Tribolium castaneum: one gene and its partners. The protein of the gene in region 1 purifies or fractionates together with the protein of each later gene. This does not show direct contact. Links are inferred from orthologs where the notes say so. Each region holds a gene or a part of one and is shown in the gene's direction. Other genes may lie near its edges.

Evidence for each region.
Region 2: the proteins of Cluap1 (region 1) and IFT57 purify together in Homo sapiens (affinity purification with mass spectrometry; 4 studies listed by BioGRID and IntAct, counting the BioPlex papers as one, with this or other methods). This does not show direct contact. The link is inferred for Tribolium castaneum from reciprocal best matches to the Homo sapiens genes CLUAP1 and IFT57.
Region 3: the proteins of Cluap1 (region 1) and IFT46 purify together in Homo sapiens (affinity purification with mass spectrometry; 3 studies listed by BioGRID and IntAct, with this or other methods). This does not show direct contact. The link is inferred for Tribolium castaneum from reciprocal best matches to the Homo sapiens genes CLUAP1 and IFT46.

Annotation. Positions count from the first base shown.
Region 1 is NC_087399.1:4,924,587-4,928,172, reverse strand, and holds Cluap1 (clusterin-associated protein 1), read left to right. Parts: upstream 1-1,509; 5' UTR 1,510-1,535; coding exon 1,536-1,605; intron 1,606-1,654; coding exon 1,655-2,037; intron 2,038-2,182; coding exon 2,183-2,756; intron 2,757-2,799; coding exon 2,800-3,047; 3' UTR 3,048-3,077; downstream 3,078-3,586. Other genes in the region: chorion peroxidase, read left to right, coding at 1-1,349. UniProt on the Homo sapiens protein: Required for cilia biogenesis. Appears to function within the multiple intraflagellar transport complex B (IFT-B). Key regulator of hedgehog signaling.
Region 2 is NC_087402.1:749,999-754,139, reverse strand, and holds IFT57 (intraflagellar transport protein 57 homolog), read left to right. Parts: upstream 1-1,192; 5' UTR 1,193-1,207; coding exon 1,208-1,376; intron 1,377-1,423; coding exon 1,424-1,584; intron 1,585-2,819; coding exon 2,820-2,935; intron 2,936-2,976; coding exon 2,977-3,578; intron 3,579-3,789; coding exon 3,790-3,950; 3' UTR 3,951-3,972; downstream 3,973-4,141. Other genes in the region: apoptosis-resistant E3 ubiquitin protein ligase 1, read right to left, coding at 878-1,064. UniProt on the Homo sapiens protein: Required for the formation of cilia. Plays an indirect role in sonic hedgehog signaling, cilia being required for all activity of the hedgehog pathway.
Region 3 is NC_087400.1:5,250,868-5,254,230, forward strand, and holds IFT46 (intraflagellar transport protein 46 homolog), read left to right. Parts: upstream 1-1,302; 5' UTR 1,303-1,402; coding exon 1,403-1,429; intron 1,430-1,482; coding exon 1,483-1,611; intron 1,612-1,655; coding exon 1,656-1,885; intron 1,886-1,926; coding exon 1,927-2,182; intron 2,183-2,232; coding exon 2,233-2,345; intron 2,346-2,388; coding exon 2,389-2,674; 3' UTR 2,675-2,714; downstream 2,715-3,363. UniProt on the Homo sapiens protein: Forms part of a complex involved in intraflagellar transport (IFT), the bi-directional movement of particles required for the assembly, maintenance and functioning of primary cilia. May play a role in chondrocyte maturation and skeletogenesis.

The DNA of each region.
Region 1 (3,586 bases):
TCGAAAGTCTCTACGAGGATATCAACGATATCGACCTATTTTCGGGGGGTTTGGCCGAGAAACCCGTGCGTGGGGGCATCATAGGCCCCACTTTTGCCTGTATCATAGCCCAACAGTTCCTAAATTTGCGGAAAGGTGACCGGTTTTGGTACGAAAACGGCGGATTTGAGTCGAGCTTCACTCCTGCGCAACTGCAACAAATCCGCCACGTGACCCTTGCGCATGTCCTTTGCCAGACTTTGACGGAGATTGAAACGATCCAACCTTTTGTTTTTCTGACTGTTGATGGCTTTCGCAACTCTCGATTGTCCTGCGACGATCCTGTCATTGACAACTTCGATCTTTCGCCGTGGGTTGAAGAGGACTTGAATGAAGTTCGGAGAGAGGGGAGGAAGAGACGGAAGTTGAAACGTACTACTACTAAAAAACCCAAAGTTGCGACTCCCGTCAAAGTTAAGGTTTACAACACGACGACTCACACGGTTAAAGTACAAACGAAACAGACTTACACTGACAGTTACGGCAACGTACCAGATAACATACCACAAAGACCGACTTTTGACAGTTACAATGACCGACGCACGACTAGACCTGACGTGACTTACCTATTTGGGGTTGTATCCGAGTCCACAACCCCTATTCCAACTCCCAAACCGTTCCAAGTCAATATCAAAATTCAGTACTACCCTCCGACGACTCCCCAACCGACCAGACGAACGCGACGCCCGTACGACTCGACGACCAAACAGAATTTTTACAGTGACGACTACTCGGTCTATAGACCGCAAAACTACTACCAAAGCAAATACGAAGACCAGCCTTTCACGTCCTCAAAACGCCCCTACATTTACTCAAACAACTACGTTTATTCAAAACGGCGACCGCAAGACGATGCTTTCGACAGACTTTACAGCGACGTCTACTCGACTCCTAATTTTGAAGACCAAGACGATTTGCCACGTCCTTTCAGCCACGTGGAAAAATTTTCGACCAACTACGAACACGACAAACTGGACTTCTACACCCCCAAAAAGCAATCCAGTGGTACCAAATTCGTGAAAATCTCAAGCGTGAAGGGCCAGGAGTATCTAGACCCGAGCGGAGCCACCGTTCAATTACACGTTTCGCAACGTGAAGGCGACTTAGAACTTGACGAAGGTGGTACCACTGACGATGTGAGACTGGTAGACCTGGAGGTACTACCCGGAGACTCAAAATGGCTAGTTTACAACGCCACGGAAGAGGAACCAGACGTGATGGTACTTCCCGATGTCAATCTCAACGTTTCCTGCTCGAGCGAACTTCCTAGACCTTTCCTTAGACGCAACTTGACAGTACCTGAGACTTGACCTGACCTGACTTAGTTTTAATTTATTCTAATGTTTCGAAAATTTTCGACTGGATTCTTAAAAGTACCGGCTAAAATACTGCCACCATGGGTGATATGTCTTATTTATTAATTTTTGTATTTATTGTTTTGGTGTAATAAAGCTATTTTATTAATCGATGCCTACTCTGATCCACCCTTCCCAGCCATGCGTTACGCGTTACTTAGCAACTGTTACATTCAAACAAGACTTAAAATGTCATTCAGAGACGTGCGAAGTGAGCTTTTTGGTTAAAATATTTTCGCAAAAATCATCCCTTTTTGTAGATTTTCTTGAAATGATGCGGGCTTTAGGATACCCGTCTTTAATTTCAATGGAAAGCTTTCGCACACCTAATTTTCCTTTAGTCGCCGATTTATTGGTTTGGTTAGCTAAGCGGTTCGACCCTGATGTCGATATACCGCCAGAGATTGATACTGAAGATGATCGGGTTAAATTGATTCGAAACGCGGCGCAATTTATGGCCCTGAAAGCCAACATCAAGCTGAATACAAAAAGGTTGTATCAAGCCGATGGTTACGCAGTTAAAGAACTGTTAAAAATTACGTCACTCTTGTATGACGCTTTGAATATGAATTTGGAGGAAAAGGAGGACGAAAATTTTGAGGAAGAAATGTTGAGTCTGAAAGACTTTGATTTAAGTGACAAGGTAAAGGCGCATCCTCTAGTTTCAACTAAGTTGATCAAGTTTTTACGTTGATTTTCTATAATCTTCTCTGGATGGCCTTGAGATGAACGCGCCTTAAGTCTTGTGTTAGGTAGGCAACTAATAATAACCCGGCGGTGTTTTGCAGATAAACGAATTAAAGTTATCCAGACAACTGGCAAGCGAAATAACTACAACCGGGGCCACACTTTTCGATCTTTTGGGCAAAGAAGTGGAACTGAAGGCGGCGAGACACAAAAGTGTTAGCCGCCAGTACGAAATCAACGAAGTTGAAGCCGGAATTAAGAAGGCAATCGAAGCTCTTAAAACCGAAATTGACGAAAGCAAACAGCTCATTGACAACGTCTCAGCAACTGAGGCCAATTTGGACAATAAGATCGAGCGCAGAAAAGTCGAAATAGATCGTTACGAAAAACGGCTCCAAACGTTGAAAAAAGTCAGGCCGGCCTTTATGGAAGAGTTTACCGCTCTTGAGGCCGAACTGGAGCAACTCTTTGTGCAGTACTCCACCAGAGTGCGCATTTTGAACCAACTGGAACGGCTGGTGTCGGAGACAGAGCGCCAACAATTGGAGAAACAACTCCAAATGGTTTCGCCTCGGATCGAAACCATTCCGCTGGAAGGAGGAACTGAGGCGTTTCTGGAGTTGGAGGAGAGCGAGGCGAGGCAAAAGCAGGAGAGACCGAGAGCTAGCACCGGGGGTAAGATAACGGGTTCCTATTTTTTTATTTTGTCTTTTTTTAGGGAGGACTAGAACTGCCAAGACGGCCAAAGCTTACGGCGGAATGCAACCACCGATGTCCGCAACCCCGTCCTTGAGCTCGGATTCGGAAGACGACGAGTTGTTTATTGACAAAGACGAGTCAGAGTTGATTCAGTCGGATGACGAGTCTTTGGGGTTGGAACTATCGGGGATGGAGTTGACCAAAAGGGTGCAGTCGGGAAAACCGGCCGGGAACAAGTTGAATGATAACAGCGATGATGATTTTTAAAAATGTCAAACCAATAAAAGCTACACTTTATTTTGAATTATTTAATGATGAATTTGCAAATGCAGCTGAGGTGAATGCACCGGCTGCCAGTCCCCAACTCCAAGTACCAAATTTGGGTTGTCGTTTCCCCACAAAAAATTAATAAGCCGGTGATAAAAACCGTTTAGCGAAATAATTAGGTATTGGTCAACCAATCGAAAAGCCAGAACAAAAACGCAAATTTCAATCAACCACCATTACGTAACTCGATTACATAACCCCAAGTATTGTATTCAAACCGCTGAGCAAATCTTTGTCATTAATTAACTCCGAATCGTCCTTTTACTTTTCATCCGGAAGAAATGGACGCTGTCACCATAACGGCCTTACCAGGGACTCGGCGAATTTCATGCAGAAAATTGCAAGGAATTATCCTTTCACCATGCAATTCCAATCATTGTGGTCAATTTCCAAATCGGCCCAATTGGGCAAATTACATAATCAAGGTCGGAAAATTTTTCTGCTGACCGTAACATTCACCTTGGCTATTGGTTCCGACC
Region 2 (4,141 bases), on another chromosome or scaffold:
GAAACGATTTGGACTACGAAGCATTTAGTTTAATATGAAAATAAATAATTGCGAAAAATTCTGAGAAAAAAAATCACGTATAGAGAAAAACGTAAAGTCTTTAACAATTATACAATCTTTTTTTAGTCAAATAATCCCCAACTATAAAAATAAAAAATCACCAAAAATCATTCCAACACAAAATGCGTCCAAGTTGGCAGCATTTGAACACGCCAACCTACCTCGAACATATCCTTTGATAAACGATAACACGCGACCCTAATGAGTTACTTTAACGACTACAGTTTATGGTAGAATTTTAACCGCAACCATTTTAATTTTACTATTTGTTTGCCCAACAAATTCCACATTTACTCCCTGCTGTGAGATGACCAACTTTTATTATTGGTACACATTCAAAATAAAAAAATTTACAAAATCATGAAAAAAATCAAGTTGCGTGTTTTAGAACCGGCGCATCCACCATTTCGCCTTCAGTGGTATAATTACCATCGCCATTACACCCCAAAAAATGGCCTGGTGTTTTGAATTAATTCTTACCAGAGGAGGCACTAGCGGACGGCTGCATGGTCATGCCAATTGAGCAAATTTCAGTATCGTCATCCCACAACATTTTAACACAACACACTCACAACCAACAAAACAAACCCAGATATGTTACATTGATACGGAGCGAGTTTTCAAGGGGTTTCATGGTATTTCTGTGGTAGCAGGTGCTGGGTCGATGGGTGCTCGCCAGCGACTGCAGTGCCTGGCTTTGTTTGTAACCCTGGGCGACTGTATTCCGATACTGCGCCCTCGCACCCTTACATTTGCACCCTTAATCAGGCGCGTTTCGCTGCTTTTTCCAACGTCATCAGTCATTAATTTCACTCACCTTTGTCAACAAAACAGTCCTTGAACGGTGACAAATTGTTCCGTTCTAGCCATTCATCGACTTTACCATCCGGTTTATTGTCCGATTCAAATAATCCAGACCAAAAGCAAAAACACAGTCTTATCACACTAGCAACACTAACAAAAACCAAAAATACAACAGCGAATAGTTTGGCACAACGCTTCATAATACAATTTTACGAAATTTTCGTTACATTTTGGCTTTTTTTCGAGTTTGGTTGAGACGGCTGTGCCCACTTTTAGCAACCGGCCGCCATTACTGTTTTTGTCAAATGTGGCGCCCTCTAAGTGGGCGGAGCCGCACGTTACCATGACAATACGAATACAAATTGACGAAATTTTACGCCAAAAAATGTCAGAAGAGAGTGAACAAACGTTTTCGGCTTTTAGCCAAATGGAAGGGCTTCTAGATAAGTTGAAATTGTTGAATTACGAAGCTGAATTTTTCAAGGAAACTAAGCTCAAGCCCATCCATAGGAAAGTCCCCAGTTTAATAATTCAAATAGTAATGGAATTAATTACAGGTATTATTTTGTTGTTACCAAAAACCCGGGCGAACAATTTTATTTGTTTGCCTTATTGGCGGCCTATTTAATACAGAAGATTGGAATTAGTTTCCAAACGCCACAAGAGGATGATGACCCGAATGTGACCGTGGAAAAAATACTAGATGTGGTGCGAAAAAATGTAATTCATTATTGAAATTTGCACTATGGTTGGAAACAGAATATAAGTTGGTATTTTTACAAAACACAGTATGATACGTCATTTTTGTCACGAGTTTATAAAGCGAGTTGCATACTATATTTTTTCTACGACAGTAGAAGTAACATTTGCACATTTTTTTCGAAAAAAACATAAAAGTTTCAACGATTTCTCTCTTAAAAACCACCAAAATAGCATAAGAATAATTAAAATTAGATATTTTGTGGCCAATTTTATATAAAATGTTTGAACTAGAATTTTTTCTTGAAAACTTTAGACTATATATTAATTCCCAAATCGTTAAATTAAATCACCAAACCCCAAAAAAACAGCAAATTAGATCGAAAAAACGTTTTATTCTAACGTTATAGCATTTTTTTTAAATTTTTAACTCTAATTTTTCACCAAATTTTGTCAAAAAGCAGCAAATTACGGTAAAGAAGACAATATTCTGGAATTTTCCAAGTTCAAAAATTCCTTATTTTGAGAAACTCTGAAATAAATGAGTCCAAAAACTCGAAATTTTTGCTGAATTCCGTCATAAATTTCTTAAAAAATCACGAAATTAATGTGTTTTTCGTCAAAATTAATATAAAATATCTAAACTATCGTCAAATTTGTGCATCTTGGCACAAAATTGAGACAAAAAACACAAAAAAACAGCAAATTAGGTCAGGTCAGGTCAGGTCAAAAAAGTTTAATTCAAACATTTAAGCATTTTTTTTAATTTGAAACTTTAATTTTCCACCAAATTTCGTCGAAAAGCAACAAATTATGGTAAAATTAGCGTTGTTTTGGAATTTTTCAAGCGTGTAAGTTGATTTTTCAGGTAAAAATTCTCATATTTCGAGAAATTCTTAATAAAAAATTAAACCTCAATTTTAAAATAACACAGTTTTACATAGTTTTTTATGATTTTCTGCACGTTTTCGTCTTAGGAACACGAAATTTTTGGCAAATTTCACAATAAATCTCCCACAAAATCCCCAAATTTGTGAATTTTTTTAAATATTTCAGTTAAAAATAATAAAAAAATATCCAAACTATCGCTAAATTTGCGCCTTTTTCAAGCACTTTTAATTTTTCAGCTAGGAACTCATTTTTTTCGCTAAATTTTGCCAAAAAAAAACAAATATCAAAAAATAAACAGACGTAAAATCAAAAATTCTGTTTCCATCCACTAATTTATTGGCCAAGTATTAAAATCCGAATTCTAGGAAATTGCTGTTAATTTCCACGCCAATAAGCTGATGCAAGGTGTGGGCGAACAAGTGGTTTACATTTTGGACAGTCTGGCCAGCAAGGCTTTGGAGAAAAATTTCATGTTCCAAAAGTGAGTAAATCCCCCTTTGTTTGCTTTAAAAATTGTGTTAGGCCTTTGCTTCCCGAGGAAAAAGCGGAAGAAAGCGAGCTGATAAACGACGAATCCGAGATAAACCTTGACCGTGTGGAGGAGGAAATGTTGGCAGCTTACACGGACGATTCCGACGAGGAAAACCTTTTCCTCCTTGATAACGTGAAAGTGGCCCGGAAAGAGCCCCAAATGGCCGAAATCAAAATGAACGTAAATGAAGAAGCGTGGAAATTGGAACTGGAGCGAGTTCTCCCGCATTTAAAAATCACAGTTAAGAATGAAAACCGTGATTGGCGTTCGCATTTAGAGCAAATGAAGCAATACAAAGTCAGTGTTGACTCGTCACTTGGTGTGGTTAAAACACAGTTGGAGAAGTTGCATAAGGAGATAAGTCAAACGCTTGATAAAATCGCAAGTCGAGAGAAGTTTCTCAATCGGGAGCTGGAGAATAATTTGGATGAATATAGAATGCTGCAAGATCAGCTCTCGAAAATCAGAGATGCTTATAAGGGGATCAGCGAGGGGGTTGCTGAGAGGAATCGCGAGCTGTTCAGGCTAACGGATCGATTGGAGACAGTCAAACAGCAAATGGAGGAGAGAGGGAGTTCGATGACGGATGGAAGTATGTTTTATCCACTGGTTGGGTACTTTATGGTAAAACGGAATTTTATCGGCTGGGAAAATAAAGTTCGCAACCGTGTCTGTTTTTCTGTTTTTGACATTTTTTCAGTCAATATAATGGAAGGATAAAATTCACAATTATCTATCTTATCAAGCGTTTGAAATTATATTTTATCGTCTTGTAGATATTACAATAAATAATTTTTTTTCAGCCCCTTTGGTTAATATTAAGAAACAGTTGGGTAAGGTCAAGTCTGAGATTGTGGAAATGGATGTAAGGATTGGAATTTTGGAGTGTATTTTGCTCCAGTCGAAAATTCGAGACGAGAAAAATTTGGAAACTGAGTTTGGACAAGCGATTTCGGTTTTCTAGAACAATAAAAGTTTGTGATGTATTATGTTGTTTTATTGGTGGGAGTAATTTGATGTAAACTTGTGTAAAATGAGCCGGGGAATCGATTGGCGTTGAGAAAATCGACAAATTTCCAATAGTTTTTTAATTACGAATTTTTTAAAATTTCACCAATTTTTGCATTTATCAGCAATTTGCTCGAAAACTATAAG
Region 3 (3,363 bases), on another chromosome or scaffold:
AAGGAAAAAATGTTAATTAGACAAATAAGACAAATTATGCTATCGTGTATGAAGTTTTTTGATACAAGTATTATAATTTGTACAGTCAACCCTAAAAAACTAGGATTTTTTAAAATGGAGTGGTTCAGATTTTTTTATTTCCTCAAAAACATATACAGGGGGTGTCTCAAAATTGGCAAATTCCCAGTTCAGAGCATTGTAGACAATCACTTCAGTAGTCCAAATGTAGAAAATTCGAGGCTTCCCCACAAAGACACATTGGTTAGCATGTTAAAAATTTCAATGTCTATTGTTAATTTTGATGTAGGTGGTTGTGGAAAACAACAATGTAAAACAATTTTTCGAAAAATTAACTTCATTTTGAAGTAAAAAAAACTTATATTTTTCTTTAATTGAAACGGCAAATTACAAAAACTTAAAAATTTTTTGCTCCATAAGAAAGCTATTTTAATTTTTTTAATTTTTTCTTTTATTTTTTTTCATGTTATTTTTTTATTTTATTTTTTATTATATTTTTTTATTTAATTTTTTTATTATACAGTGGGCTCAAAAACTGGCGCACTAACTCAATGGTGTGTGGTAGAGAACTGGTTACATATAAAGGTAAAAATAGTAAAAAAATTCTTTGTATTAAAGTTATTGATAAATAACGGATTTTAGATAAATGATATGTGGCAACGTTGTCTAATAGTCCTGATCGCAATAGAATTTGAGCAACAATAAAAATAAATTATTTTTGAAACGGTTTCCTAGGAAATAATTCCCAGTGTTGGCACATCTACACATTGGGATTTTTTGGATAAATTTTAATTTTTTTAAATTAAAAAAACTGCTAGAATCTGATAGTAAATTTTAAAATAATTATTCATCGTTTTGTTACGGAACGATTACCTGGTATGAAACATAAAAACATAAAAAAATAATGAAAACTGAAGAAGTTAACAAAATAAGTTTGTAGCTCCAGATTTTTTTAAATATGGGTTTAGGAATTTTTTCAAGATTTTTCCCGTGATCTACACATGCTTCTCAACAACGTACCACTGAGTTGGTGCGCCAGTTTTTGAGCACCCTGCATTTTTTTATTTTATTTTTATTATTTAATTTTTTTACGATTGGACTACCGAAACAATTTTCATCTGAACTTGGAATTCGTCAATTTTGAAACACCCTCTATACCTAGTTTTGCGTGCTGTTGAAAAAATAGTTATTCCATTTTTCATTAAAAAAAATTGACTTACAGTCGTTTTTTTGATTGTATCATTTTCTAAAAATCATACTAACGCATAAAAAAACAAATCAAGTTACATCCCCTGTTCAGTATCCACGCAACTCGGTTGCTAAGTAACGAAATACAAACAAAACAACGCCATTTCTAAATCAAAATCATTATTTTGACACAAAAATGCAACGGTCATTTTCAATTGTTGACGTAAGTTGTAGGTATTTCCCCTAATAAATTTTTACCCAATTTTCACTTGAAAGGACGAAGAAGAGAGCGAAAATTTCGATGAGCAAATCCTCAAAAAATACGGAGGCGCGTTATCTGAACGCTCAAACTCGCAAACAATCAACGATTACGAAACCAATTTAGCCAAAATGGCCACCAGACAGGTAAAACCCCCAACCTGTGTCCAGAACCGTACTTAGATTTTCAGGCCTCGGCCACCGACTACGACCCTGACAAACACTTATCTAAAATCCCCAGCGCCGGCCCTTCGGGCCGCCAAACTGTCTTACGTAAACCAACAGGTTTATCGAGTGACAGTGAAGACGACAGTGACGAAGAAAAAACAAAGGATGCAATTCCGGGTGAATATGACCCGAAGGAGTACGAAAATTTGGACGTTAGTCCCGAAATTAAAGACATATTTCAATACATAACAAAGTGAGTCGATTGAAATACTTACAGGGCTGCTAAATATTTAGGTACATCCCCCAACAAATGGGTTTGGACCACAAGTTCAAACCCTTCGTGCCTGAATTTCTCCCAGCGGTTGGCGACATTGACGCGTTTTTAAAAGTCCTCCCGCCAAAAACGTTGCTCTCCGACGCGGACTTCGTAGCCAATCAGCAGCTGGGACTGGTGGTTTTGGACGAACCGGCGGCCAATCAGAGTGACCCGGCCTTGCTACACTTGCAACTGAGGGCGGAGTCGGTCAAAACGACCAATGACAGCACTGTGGTACCTAACCCCGCTTTCCCCCACCCCTCAGTCATGCTTTACACCAACAGGTGGTCAAAAAAATCGACAATGTTGAGAAAAACGCCAAAATCATCGATAAGTGGATTAAAGACATTTCAGCGTTGCATAAAAGCAAGTCGTTTCCGGCCGTTCGTTACACAGAGTAGGTTAGACTTTGAGTGACTTGACCTGACTGAGTTTTCCAGACCGATGCCCGATTTGGACGAGCTGATGCAAGAATGGCCCGAAAGTATGGAAAAACAGCTGAGTGAGAACGGATTTCCGGAACCTAAGGGAAATTTGAGTGATTATGTGCAGGAAGTTTGCGGGTTGTTTCAAATTCCGGTCAAAAATAAAATCCAAGCGTTGCATTTGCTGTTTTCGCTGTTTGCAGCTGTCAAAAGCTCGCAGTTGTTCAAAAACGGCCAACTTGGGAAAGTTGAGGAAAGCGAGTCGATTGGAAACGTTGCCGATCAGTTGGTACTGGATTAGAGGACACTCTTGATAATTACAAAATAAATCAATTATCTTAGCCTTGATCTCGATTAATTTAAATGCCCTTTTGGTCTTGCCGAAGCTATGTTTACAATTCCTGTTGCCCTTCTGTGAAATACTTACCTATAGTCTGTTATTGCAAGCTCGTGCAAGTAAATAATAATTAAAAGTGTTTGATAAAATGTGCATATTTTAAAAATAGCATAATTGGTGCGTAATTGCGTAGGCAACTTGATCTTGAGTGACCACAAATACTGGATGATTCAAAAGTCCCAGATTTTTGATGACAAAAATTTGTTTGAGTCTTATATTACTTTTTTATTATTATTTTTTACTATTATTATTATTTTATTTATTATTTATTATTATATTATGACCACAAACTGGTCAGAACTGTCAAAACTAAAATGATATCGAATTATCAAATACTTTTTAATAATGTTCCTGCACACGCACTAGATTTTATAAAAAAAAATGCCTCACCCTGTATTTATGTTTGGTTTCTCGATCAAAATAAATAAATTATTATAATAATAAATTAAGTAAACAACAATCACCAAATTTAGACAAGATCAAGGTTTTAAAAATAGAAGCCACGCGACTGTATAATATTGTGGTAAAAATTCTTAAACAGGAAAAATATAAATAAATGTAGATTAAAAACATCTTATGGTGTCTCCTTAAGT